Linked DNA regions of Mus musculus. The protein of the gene in region 3 purifies or fractionates together with the protein of the main gene of each other region. This does not show direct contact. Links are inferred from orthologs where the notes say so. Each region holds a gene or a part of one and is shown on either strand. Other genes may lie near its edges.

Region 1 (4,061 bases), on a different chromosome or scaffold from region 3:
TACCCAATTTAGCTTATCCAAAAGCCTTAGGAAACAGGTATTTCCTCTGCTTTAAAGCGGAAGAAACCTAGTCATTCCTTAAGTTAAAACTGTCAGCGAGTCCTTTACTTCAACTGACAGGATGACAAAACAGTCTCCGTATCATCAGGCTTCAAGCCCAAAGTCCTTCATTCTGCTACTCGTTTGTTAAAACCTTAAAAAATAAACCTCGTGGGGCTGGGGACTTGACCCAGCTGAGAGTGTGCTCGCCAGGCACGCACAAGACCTTCAGCTCAAACCCAAACTCTCAAGTAAACCAGGTGTGGAAGTACACACTTGTAATTCCAGCACTCTGAAGATGGAGGCAGGAAGATCAGAAAGTCAGATTTGAAACCAGGCTGGGATATGAGATCCTATCTTAAAAACAAACGAACAACAAAAACCCAAGATCTACTTGGTGCTCAATAAGTGGCACATCTATCAGTATTCAATCTGGAGTCAACTCTCTCTCCAGTTGCAGCAGAGCTAGTAAATCACATAAATTGGAATTAGTCTTGTAACCACCAATTTCCAATCTTTGGACTTCTCCCTTGATTTTCAAGGATCACATCTCACAAGTACAATCCTCTTTTACTATAGTCATTAAGTGTTGGAAAGATTCTTCTAATGCAAATGTTAACAATAACTATATACCAATAAAACATCTCAAGGAATGGCATCTTGAGAACACTCATGCACTAGTGATGAAGATGAAAAAAAATGTACCATAAATGTGTAACCAAAAATAAATTTACAAAGTGGGAATCAGAGATCAAAAAATGCTTCATGGTGCCAAGCTTTGAAGGGTATGCAGAGGCAGAAAGCAGGTGTGGTAAAACACAGCTATAAATCTAGCACTTGGGAGGTAGGGGCAAGAGGATTTAAGAGTTTGAGGCCATAAGAAATTATCTCCAAAACAAACAAACAAACAAAAGGTGGGACAGTGGTGGCACACACCTTTAATCCCAGCACTAGGGAGGCAGAGGCAAGTGGATCTCTGTGGGATGGAGGCCACCTTGGTCTACAGAGGAAGTTCCAGGACAGTCAAGACTACACAGAGAAGCCCTGTCTGGCAACCCCTCCCCCTCAAAAAATAGAGAGGTAAGAACCCAGGCCTGTTCCAAACAGCTGGATTTTTAATTCTAACAACGCTGAGAGAACTCGATTTCAACAAGTGGTACAACCAAGCATTTTCTACAAGAGTCACAAGACCAAAATCCTAAGAAATTTAGTGGAACTCAAAGCATCAACCCTCTAGGCCAGTGGTTCTTAAACCGTAGTAGGGGAAGTAAGTAACCCGTCATTACCACCCCCACCCGCACTCCAAACTCTGACATTGTCCGAACACATTTTTGATGGGCATTTCAGGGGAGTGGAGGTGCTGTCATTTAGTGGAGAGAGGTCAGGAAAACAGCTAAACATTCTACAATGCACAGAACCAACCGCACAGAGAAAGTGTGTGGCTAAAGAGCTAGTGTTAGGAAACAATGCTCTAGACAGAGAACAAAACCGCAAGCAAGAGTCCAGTGAAGGTATTCGCTATGAGCTACTTCAAGGTAAGGGTGGCCTAGCAGGCTAGAAAATGAGTAAACTAGAATATCTCTGGAGTGGAGGAACACAGCAAAGATTCATAACGAATACTTCTAGAGATGGGTGAGAGGAAACTACGAGCTATACAGCAAAAACTAAGATATGAAATAGTAGGCTTAAGTATGAAAAAGTAGGGTTACTATCAAAGTCACTCTAACTTATCAGCCTAACCCCTTTTCTACAAAACATTTATAATGGCCTAAGTGTTATCTTATTTTGTACTTTGCTTCTCCTTTCCCGCGATCTCGGATTTGCTCTCCCCGCATAAACTTAACTGATAAAACCCCAAACCCTCCACCAATTTGGCAAGCGAACAAGTTCAGGCTTATTTACGGTTTTCTGGTAGGAAAAAGGCAAATCAAAGCAACAATCTCTTAGGCGTGTGGGGGGCATGCGGAGGGGTGGGGGGCATCGCAATCCCACGCTGCTGAGCGGAACGCTGGGTCAGAAATTCAAAAGTGCCACAGCAGAGAGGGGGGGGGGGAAAGGAATCAGAGTGGAGCGTTCCATCGGGAGGTGCGGGTGCGGGGAGGGCTGAGTAGAGCACAAAGTACACAGCTTGGGATCGGACGCCAAAGCAGAGTTACGGTTCCCAAATTTTCCCAGAGGTGTCAAACAAGTTTAGGAAGGTGGAACAATGCAGACCGGAAGGAAGCCGCGGGCCAAACAACTGGCAGCAAATTTCGGGAACGCCTCTTTTGGCGGGAGGGGTAGTGGGCGGGGCGACGCACGGTTCGGCCCATACCATTCGGGCCAGAGGGGGTCTGCGCCGAACTCCGCCAACTGACAGTTGGGAAGAGACTCGAGTTCAGTGTATGCCAAAAGGGAAAGCAAGTTCAGATCCAAGCCCCACCAAGAGGATCAAGGAACATTTCAGGGTTCACAATGTCTCGGGTTGCATGGGGGTAGGTTGTACTACTTTGCAGACAAGCAGGGGGAACCGGACCGGGACGCGCGCAGGGCCACAGCCGGTTTTAATCTCACCAGAGCCATTGGGTCCAATGATGGCGGTAAACCTCTGAAATGGTCCGATAATCTGTCGACCCTTGTACGATTTAAAGTTCTCGATCTCAATCAGTTTCAGGAAACCCATGACAGCGGCGCTGGCGTAGGAAAGGCCGCGCCTTACTCCTGGGAACGAGGTTAGCCCGCGCGGGAAATAGCGCAGTGCAAGCCGGGTGTACAGTAAGCCTCGCGATAATAAGTCCAAGCCAATCACGATTTCCTGTTTCCGGGGCCAGAAATGGTCACTTCCGCCTGAAATAGCGCTTTTGTTGAATTGTTGCCCGGCTGGAGCACGCGCTGGGCGCTCAGGCCCCGCCCCTCTACGTAGTTACCCAGCAACTGTTGAAGTGGCCGCCAACTAGGACGGGAAGCGTTAGTGCTCTGATCACTTCGGGGGAAATCAGAGCAAGCAGGCGGGGTCTGAGCCCACGCTTGCTGGGAAAGAAGTCACTTCAAGGTTCTGCCAGAGCTAGTGGGAGGCAGAAGCTCGGCTGGGGTTTGTAGTCTAGCCAGCAAGGGGGGAGACGGGGAGAAGCGCTTCAGCCAAGGATTCAGTCGGGAATGGGAAGGCGCCCTCGGAAGGGTGGGCAGTTTGGGATGGAAGAGGGATCAAAGGGAGGACTTAGATGAGGCGAGCTTAGAGTGTGAGGACGATGAGAGTATCTCTTAGACAACAGAGATACAAGTTGGGAAAGGCTGTGTTCTGAAATACTGCCCCTATCGTCTGCTTCTCTCTTATTTCTCCAAGCAGAATTTAAAGACTGCCGTTGTAAATCCAAGAGTCAACTTGGGTCCAATCCATTTTCGAGCTTCAAAACTGGAATTCTGTACTGAGAAAGGTATCTTGTGTGAACACTAGGAGTCCAGGTCCTTAAGCCAGTGCTCCAGCTCTGTCCTTTTCCCTCCCTGTTAAATCAAGTTTCCCCCATTTCCACCACTTCCCCTCTGTCTCTTTCCCTCCCCCTTTCTCTCCTCTCTCCCTCCCTTTCTCTTTCTCTCTCCTCTCTCCCTTCCTCTCCCCCTCCCCTCTCTCTCCTCTCCTTCCCTCTCCCTCTCTCCTCCCTCCCTCTCTCGCTCCAACTCTGTCCTTTTCCCTCCATTACATCAAGTTTCCCCCATTTCCACCTCTTCACCTCTCTCTCTCCCTCCCTCTTTCTCTCCCTCTCCCCCCTCTCTCTCCCCTCCTTCCCTCTCCCTCCCTCTTTTTCTCCTCTCTCCCCCCTCTCTTCCTCTCTCCTCTCTCTCCTTTATACCCTGTCCTTCTCCAATTCTTTTCCATCCCCTTTTTCTTCATTCTTTCATTCCCCTTCTATCACCTTATAGTCATGATCTTAGCAGCCCAGGATGTCTACTGAATCATCCCCCTATTGTGACAACAGATTGTCTTTATAGGCCGGGGTTAGTGCCATTTTCAGTTAGATATGGAAAGAGTCTGGTGGTTTCCACAG
Region 2 (4,063 bases), on a different chromosome or scaffold from region 3:
GCTCTGACCTCCACGCTTGAGGGACTCACTGTCTTGCTTCTTGAAAGATGCTATCAAACCTGTATCCAAGCTGGATCCTGGGGCTGCCCTGACCCCTTCCCAGGCCTCACCATAGCAAACAAGACGGGTGGTCTCCCGACTGGCCAGGGGTGTGTTGCACAGGCGGCAATTGGGGTTGTAGTCACTATCTTGTAGCCACTGCAAGTAGGACTGCACGATGCACTGGAGTGGGAGAGAGATGTCACAACTGGTGCCCCAGGCTCCACGATGCACACACCACTCCAAGGCTCAAATGCCTCGTTTTCTCTCATCAGACTCATCATTTCATCTGTTCCATTTATTGAGTGACCATTTATTGAGCAGCTACTGAAGGCATAGCAGAGCGCATCACACCCCATGTTCTTGCCCTTGTGGAGCTTACAGTCTAGCATAGGTCCCCACATGGATTTAGAAGTAGGCAATCTTGTCTGCCCACCCACCCGCCCTGCTCAGACACTGCTCTAAACGCCCCACCTTGGCGTGATTGGCTACTAGGCAGTGCTCGCAGACGTTAACTCGGTGTTCGAAGCAGAACAGGTTCGTCACCTTCCTCTTGGGGCACTTGCAAAGTCCCATGACCGATCCTGGAGGGTGTGGTGGGGTGAAATCAGTTAGCAGGAAGCCAGGTTTTGGTGGCTGCCAGTTTGTTTTCACCAACCCAGTTCTCTTCTTTTAAATCTCTCAGTCCCGTCTCACACCAGTCCCAACACCAAATTCTAGCATAATGCCTTAGCATGGGTAAAGCCACGTCTCCTGTACAGATCGTACCACAAACGACCGACCCTTCATTCCATCAAGACCCAGGAAGGCCCTCGCCAGATCTCTGCACAGCTCCAATACCACCAGCCCCGCCCCCAAGACCCACCCCCTCTTGACCCGCCCCCAGCTGGCCGACCACATTCTGGATGTCCGCGAACCTCCGCGATGCCGATCGTGACCGGTGCGTACGGTAATGAAAAGCGCGGAAGGCCGGGGACTGAGCTCACCAACTCCGGTAGCTGCAGCTCCGCTCCCTTCAGGTCCGGCCTGATTATCCCTCCGCTGCCACGTCTCTTCCGGGTGCGGCGCACGCTGATGACGCCACAGCGCCGCAGGATACGCCTCTGCCTTTTGCTAGCTAGACGTAAAGCCTGTGACAACAAAAGCGGATGGTCCGCCTCCGGCCTGTGTCACTTCCGCTTTCTCGCTAGCAAGGCGGGCAATTTGAACGTTTGAAGCAGCAAAGTTCCCGGTTGGCGCGAGCCTGAGTAGGCGACCGCGGCGGAGACTGAGCCCGACCGTACACATGGCGGAGCGGCGAACACGATCAGGAGGGGCTGCCCAGCGGTCTGGTGAGCACGGGAGCAGTGGAGCGGGGTTGTTTGGGGAACAAAACTTGGCTCCCGGTGGAAGACGCCCCAAAGGGGTAGTTGGAAAACGACTTTTGCTTTTCCGAACTCGTCAAGCATCTTGTTTCGTTTGTTTGTCGCCTTTTCTTCGAGCAAAGTTTTGCTCACCATCAAACGTGTTTTCCTTTCCAGGGCCCAGGACTTCACTTACTAAGCCTTCGAAGTCGTCCAAGCGGAAATCTGGCTCAGATCTCCCGAACTCGTTCTCTGAAATCTGGCCGAGGGTGAGTTCCTGGTCCCCCAGGTGTTGGGGTTGGGTTTGTGCGCTGCGTATTCAGATGCTAATTTCTATGCCTAGGTATCCTTAGTCCGGCTAACTAGCACCTCCGGGCTCACTGTTGTTTTTTTTTTTTTAAATCATCTCTGATTGGTTGATAAAGAGCTGATCAGCCTATGGCTGGGCAGGAGAGGACAGAGGAGGCGGGACATCAGCGCCCATTGAGGCGTCCGGAAGAGTCTAGGGAGAGAGAAGTGGGAGAGGGGGAGGCGCGGAGAGAGCAGGTGGTTTCACTCTAAGGTCAAGAGGAGGGAGAGAGCAGTCATGAGGGCACACATGGACCAGATTGAGTCAGAGTAAGACTGAGATTCAGGTAGAGGACCGTGTGACTGGTAGATAGGCAGCCTGAGAGGGTTAGAGTAGCTCAGAACCTGCCCAACATAGTGCCAGCAGCCTTTGAATAACAGCTCTGTGTCCTTTACTCAGGAGGTAGTGGCGTTGGGGGGAAGAAATGCCCTGCAGTTATTTGGGAGCAAGGGAGTCAAAAAACTCCCGCCCAATGCTTCCACAGTTGGTGCCCAACATGGTGCAAGAACTTACAAACTTAGAACCAGGCTTAGAGGCTGAGAAGTCTTGGATAGAAGATAAGGAAAACTTTTCTCAGCAACACCCCCAAAGTACTTTTTTTTTTTTTCCTCGAGACAACGTTTCTCTGTATAGCCCTGGCTGTCCTGGAACTCACTTACTTAGTAGACCTGGCCGGCTTCGAACTCAAAGATCCACCTTCCTCTGCCTCCCAAGTGCTGGGATTAAAGGCGTGCACCACCACTGCCCGGCTCCCAAAGTACTTTTACACTGACCTAGAGGGCTTTGAACTATTGTAAAGCTCATGGATAATACTTTCTTTTACCCCCCCCAGACAACTCCAGCGGTCCCAGTCAGAAAGGCCATCGTCTTGAAGAAGATCGTAGCTCATGCAGTAGAGGTGAGGGGCTGAGAGAAGGCTTTGGGAGTGAGATGTCAAAACTGGGCTTAGCTATTGATTGATCAGTTGATGTCATCCCTACAGGTCCCAGATGTCCACACGGTTCGAAGAAGTCCTAGGGTGAGTTCAGTTCTGTTTATTTCTGTTTATTTGTGTAGGATTTACCCTTAGAGGGTAGGCATACACTTCTACCCAGGCAACTGCTTCATGGCTTGTCAGTTTAGGTCTCAGTGTATAACACTGTTTCCTGAACTGGAAGTTACGGTAGACCAGACTGGCCTCAAATTCATAGAGATCCACCTGCACCAGTCTCTGCAGATAGATTCAAATCTTAGAGATGGGCATGCTACCAGGACTGACTGTAGTTACCAGTCTTGTTTCCTGCCTATGGGTGTCATTCATTTCTTTTTTTTTTTGGGTTTTTTTGTTTTGTTTTGTTTTGTTCCCCAGAGCTGAAAACCACTGAGCTAAATCCCCAACCCCAACCCCTCATTTCTAGTTCTTTATGCTCTGAACATTCTCACTATTTTTCTTAAAAAGTTATGGTTTAACCACTGGGCTTCTGTAGACTGTTTTGCCACTGTTTTGTTGTGATGTTGTGATGGCGCACGCCTTTAGTCGCAAGATTTGGGAGGCAGAGGCAGGCGGATCTCGGAGTTTTAGGCCAGCCTGGTCCACAGAGTGATAAGGTTGTTTTGCTGAGTGTTTATTTATGTTTTGTTTGTTTGTTTGTTTGTTTTATGGTTATAGAATGAGTTATGTGTAGGGGCTGGAAAGATGGTTCTGGGTAAAAGCAGTTTTCAGATTCCATCAGATGGACCCTACACACCTACAGCTTCAGTTTGAGAGTATCCAACGCCCTCTTCCGGACACATGCATACGCAGTGTAAAAGGTGCTGGGTGCTGGTGCACACCTTTAATTCCAGCACTCAGAAGGCAGAGGCAAGTGGATCTCTTTTGACTTATAGGCTAGCTTGGTCTACAGAGTGAGTTCCAAGACAGCCAGGGTTACCTGTGGCCAAGCCTGGCCCTGAATTTAGTATGTGCGTAAAGCTGGTTTTGAATTCCTGATTTTTCAATCTCCCAAGTGTACCCAGTGGTGCTTTGCTCTCTGACCAGGGTTGTGTTGCTGGCTGGCTTTGGTACTCTTCCTGCCTGGTATTTCTCAGTGTCCTGGGAATTGCAGACGTGAGGCAAATTGCCAGTTTGATTTGTTATTCTGATGTGTGTGGTGCTGGAGATCTATCCCAGGGCAGTACTAAGCAGGTACCCTGCTGTTGAGATAATCCCAGCCATCTTGTGATGGTGGAGGTGGGTTTTCAAGTCCTAGAACTTGCTTTGAAGACCAGGCAGGCCTCAAACTCACCGAGATTCAACCCCCACCCTAGTGCTAGGGTTAAAGGCATGCACTACCCCACCTAGCTTCCCAACCAG
Region 3 (4,227 bases):
AACCTTCCTATTGCTTCCTCATGTTGTGGTGACCTCAAACAAAATAATTGCATTGCTACTTCATAACTGTAATTTTGCTACTGTTATGAATTACAGTGTTAATACCTAATAGACAGGATATCAGATAGTTGGGGGGGGGTCTCGACTCACAGGTTGAGAACCACTGTTGTTGGCAGGGTGTGGTTATGCCACTAGTGTTTTGGGAAGTGGAGGCAGGAAAATGGTTAAGTTCAAGGGCAGGCAGCTGGGTTACTAGTCCTCTTTTTTTTTTTTTTTTTAAAGATTTATTTTACTTATATGAGCACACTGTAGCTGTCTTCAGACACACCAGAAAGGGCCATCAGATCCCATTACAGATGGTTGTGAGCCACCATGTGGTTGCTGGGAATTGAACTCAGGACCTCTGGAAGAGCAGTCAGTGCTCTTAACTGCTGAGCCATCTCTCCAGCCCACTAGTCCTCTCTTAAACAAGTCATCAAACCCATTCTTTGCCTCTCCCACTGTCCACACTGTACTTCAATAGTTTAAGATCTTTCACTAGACAACTGTTAGCCTCCTCACAGAACGTCACAGCCTACTCCCCACAAGCCAACTGTGACAACCAAAATGACTCTGAAATTGCCTACAACACCCCCTGGTGCATCAAAGTTGTCCAAAGTGACAATCACTGCTCGAAACTGATTCCATAACAAACACTGCCCTATGCAGTAGCAGAAAAGTTAAGTCCCAAAATGACAGCGCAAGATTGTTACACCAAGAAAACCGGTGCGCACACACAAACACAAACTCACAGACATATCAACAATCCCGTCCTTCAACTCTCTTGGGCATGTGTACTAAAATCATCATTTCTCCTTAAGCTCGAATTCTGAAAAATCTGTACACTGTATTAAGTTTAGCCCACTGTATAGATAGTTAAGCTCCCATTAGAAAATTACGAGAATCTAAGGGGGACAATATGGTTGTTTGTGCTCAAGTCAGTCTTTTCTTGGAGTAGATAATAATAGGAACTTTCGTGGGTAAAATCACTGTCTACACCTCAGGGTATCGAGCCCCTTAAACAACATCCACTAAATAAAATAACCACAAGGGAAACAACTAACCATGCATGCGTTCTTATGGACAGAAAATGATCACACTCTTTAAATTCCCCGTCCTTTCAGAACTTATCCAAAGATACCGCCAAGTTAGAACAGGACTTTTCCGGGGCGGTTAAGATATCTTCAAAAACTTAGTACTAAAAACTCCAAAGGCCAGGTTGAGAGTAGTCCAATGAAACCACACGAGTCACAAAAGCCATCCAGAGCGCAGATCGCCGACCCAGACCCTTACCTTCAGACGTTTGATCATTTCATCGGTGGTGATCTTGTCGGTGATCTCTTTTACTCCCGGAGGGTAAGCGATCTTCCCGTCCGCACTCACGACGCCACAGAGGGCAGTGGCAGGCTTCGGCTGCGTGAAGTCCATCCTGGGGAATAACTTTTCTCTCACAGTCCTCTACCGGCCTCTATCGGTCAGAAAATCAAAGTTCAGCGGGAAAAGGGGCGACTTTGTAACCTCTTTTTCATTTCAAAAATCTCTAATCTAGAAAGGGCCCTTTCTTCCCCCCGAGGCCGGGGACCCCGCCACTCGCTCCTTCCCTGGGTTTCGGACCCGGCTAGGCGTCCGCCACCCCCACCCGAGCCAGCCCCGGTGCCACGGGGTTCTCGGCTGCAGCAGCCCCGGCCGCGAGAGGCGCCGAGCAGCTCCCGGAGTTTCCTAGCCCTCTTTTCACAATGAAATGTATCCCCGAGCACCTAGGACGGAAGTTTGGTGGCCTCGGGGGGACATTGAGGACCCAACGGCCCCACTTGGCTCAGGAGAAGCGGCTGGGTCCCCGCCTGGCCGGTCACCTCCGGGAAAGGAGACTCGAGGCCTAGAGGGTTCAGCTTAGGCCGCAAAACTAGGTACCCAAGAGGACCCACGCGCGGCGCCGGCGCCCGGGAGCAGAACGCCATAGCCGTGCCGAGCCCCGGGCTCCCGGCGTCCCCGCCGCGCGGCCGCCCCTCCCCGGCCAGCCCGCCACCCCCGCCAGCCGCCCGAGCCCCTCGCCAGGAAGCGAAGGACCCGGCTCCGCACTTCACATTTTTGTTCCTTAACTTCAGCAACCGAGCCCGGCGGCATCTCAAGCCCCTCGGTCGCCCGGCGCTCCTCGGCACCGCCAAGGCCTGAGCCGCCGCTCCGGGCAACCCCGCCGGGCCTCCGCGCGCGCCCTCCCCTGCGGTCTCCCCTTCCGTCCCTCCCTCGCCGCCGAGGGCGCGAGCCCGGCCGCCGCTTTACCTCCTCCTCATGCGGGCGGACGGTGCAGCGAGCGCCGGGCCTCTGTCAGGTGGTTGCGCCGCCGCCGCCGCCCCTCGTCGGGCTGCACACAAAGCGGCTCCGTCCGTCCCGCCGCCGCCGCCGCCGCCGCCCGCCCGCCCCGGAGCGGCGCTGGGGCTGGCGGTGCCGAGGAGCAGCCGCCGCGGGGGGAGAAGCGGGCCGAGCGTGCGCCGGCCGGGGCGACACTGCCGCTCTCCGTCGGGCTGAGGAAGCGCAGCCTCGGCCGCGGCTCCTCCGAGAGCCCGCGCGCGGGTGCACGCCCGCGCGTCCCCCGCGCCCGCCCGGCCGCTCGCTCGCTCGCCGGCCGGCCGCCCGCACCTCGCGCCCACCCGCACCAGACGCCCTCTCGCCGCGGCGCGCTCCCGGCCCGCCCGTGCCCCGCGGAGCCTGAGCGTCGCCGCGCACAGCCGGAGCCCGTCACGCGAGCGGCGCGAGAGCCCGCGAGAGCACCGCGCGCCTCGCTCCCGCCCCTTCTTCCGCCGGCCGAGCCCCCGCCTCCCTCGAGCCCGACGCGGCCGCGCGCGTGGTGGACAGCGCCGCCACCCGTTTGGCGCCAAGACCTGCCCGCGCGGGCGCCTCCGGGGGGCCGGCAGCCGAGCCGGCGCGCGGAGGAGGAGCCCCGGTGGCGGGAAGCGGACCCCGGGAGGCGCGGCTTTGCGACACTCCCGGCCACCGCTGTCGCGGAGTCCGGGGCTCTTGAAGGCTTGGCTGGCGGGGATGTGACCGGACCGGTGGAGAAATGGTTAATTATCTGGAGAAACGGCTGCTTTCCCCTCCAAACAGAGCTCTGGAAGCCGAGGCAAAGTTTTACAACTCGGGCTGCTCATTCTCGCGTCTTCCGGAGAGTCGCCCTAGGTCGCAGCCTACGACCTTAGTTAGACTCCTACCATTAAGGTTTTCAAAGCTGCAAAATAGGAAGTTGGCATGCGATCTCAAGCTATGGTGCCGGGGCTTCTGGCCTCCCAGTCATTTTGGGTACAGGCTGAAAACACAGACTAGGGTTCCTGATAGTGAAGCCCAGAAGAAGAAAGAGGGAGGGTGTTTTTAGAGATTTACAAATTACCTATGTGAATCTGAGACCTCTTTTTTTTTTTTAAGTTGTGAATACACCAAAGCTCTACTTTTTCTCTCCTCCAAAGGAAAGGCTTGCCAAAGAAAACTTAGTGCAGCGGTGCTTGAGCAATTTAAGGTAAATATTGAAGCGAATGAACCTGAACAATACACACATAATTTCAGGAAACCACCTTTTAAAACAATAAGCAAGCCGGGCAGTGGTGGCACACGCCTTTAATCCCAGCACTTGGGAGGCAAAGGCAGGCGGATTTCTGAGTTCGAAGCCAGCCTGGTCTACAGAGTGAGTTCCCGGACAGCCAGGGACAGCCAGGGCTACACAGAGAACCGTCTCAAAAAAACAAAAACAATAAGCAGAAGGGGGTGATGGTGGTGCACGCCCTTAATCCTAGCATTTGGGAGATAGAGGCAAGCGGATCTCTTGAGTTCAAGGCACCCTGGTCAATCGAGCTAGCTCCAGGACGTCAGACAGCCAGGGCAACAAAGAACCCCTGTCTCAAAAAAAGTAAAAAATATTAATAATAATAATGAAAAGAGGAAGAAGCTAGGCCGTTATGGTTCACGCCTTTCAACGGGAGGCAGAGGCAGGCAAATCTTTGATTTCGAGGCTAGCCTGGTCTACAGAGTAAGTTCCAGGATGGCCAGGGAAACCCTATCTCAAAAAAACAGAAAGAAGAAGCTGGCAGCAATTGAATTTATACATTGTTCTTTAAAATGCCCACCTTTTAACTGGCCTATGGTTGCAGCTAAATCAAAAGATTTAGGCAAGAGGATTTTTTTGAACTCAAGATTTCCAGT

Evidence for each region. Proteins that work in one complex are often made in the same cells at the same time.
Region 1: the proteins of Pds5a (region 3) and Smc1a purify together in Homo sapiens (co-immunoprecipitation; 8 studies listed by BioGRID and IntAct, with this or other methods). This does not show direct contact. The link is inferred for Mus musculus from reciprocal best matches to the Homo sapiens genes PDS5A and SMC1A.
Region 2: the proteins of Pds5a (region 3) and Cdca5 purify together in Homo sapiens (affinity purification with mass spectrometry; 4 studies listed by BioGRID and IntAct, with this or other methods). This does not show direct contact. The link is inferred for Mus musculus from reciprocal best matches to the Homo sapiens genes PDS5A and CDCA5.

The regions. Positions count from the first base shown.
Region 1 is NC_000086.7:152,015,172-152,019,232, reverse strand, and holds the start of Smc1a (structural maintenance of chromosomes protein 1A), read right to left. Parts: upstream 2,806-4,061; 5' UTR 2,702-2,805; coding exon 2,593-2,701; intron 2,514-2,592; exon of another isoform or gene 2,347-2,513; intron 1-2,346. UniProt on the Homo sapiens protein: Involved in chromosome cohesion during cell cycle and in DNA repair. Central component of cohesin complex. The cohesin complex is required for the cohesion of sister chromatids after DNA replication.
Region 2 is NC_000085.6:6,083,839-6,087,901, forward strand, and holds the start of Cdca5 (sororin), read left to right. Parts: upstream 1-1,258; 5' UTR 1,259-1,324; coding exon 1,325-1,370; intron 1,371-1,559; coding exon 1,560-1,651; intron 1,652-2,563; coding exon 2,564-2,629; intron 2,630-2,713; coding exon 2,714-2,749; intron 2,750-4,063. Other genes in the region: Zfpl1 (zinc finger protein-like 1), read right to left, coding at 111-222, 514-615. UniProt on the Homo sapiens protein: Regulator of sister chromatid cohesion in mitosis stabilizing cohesin complex association with chromatin. May antagonize the action of WAPL which stimulates cohesin dissociation from chromatin.
Region 3 is NC_000071.6:65,695,431-65,699,657, forward strand, and holds the start of Pds5a (sister chromatid cohesion protein PDS5 homolog A), read right to left. Parts: upstream 2,807-4,227; 5' UTR 2,320-2,806; intron 1,508-2,319; 5' UTR 1,468-1,507; coding exon 1,333-1,467; intron 1-1,332. UniProt on the Homo sapiens protein: Probable regulator of sister chromatid cohesion in mitosis which may stabilize cohesin complex association with chromatin. May couple sister chromatid cohesion during mitosis to DNA replication.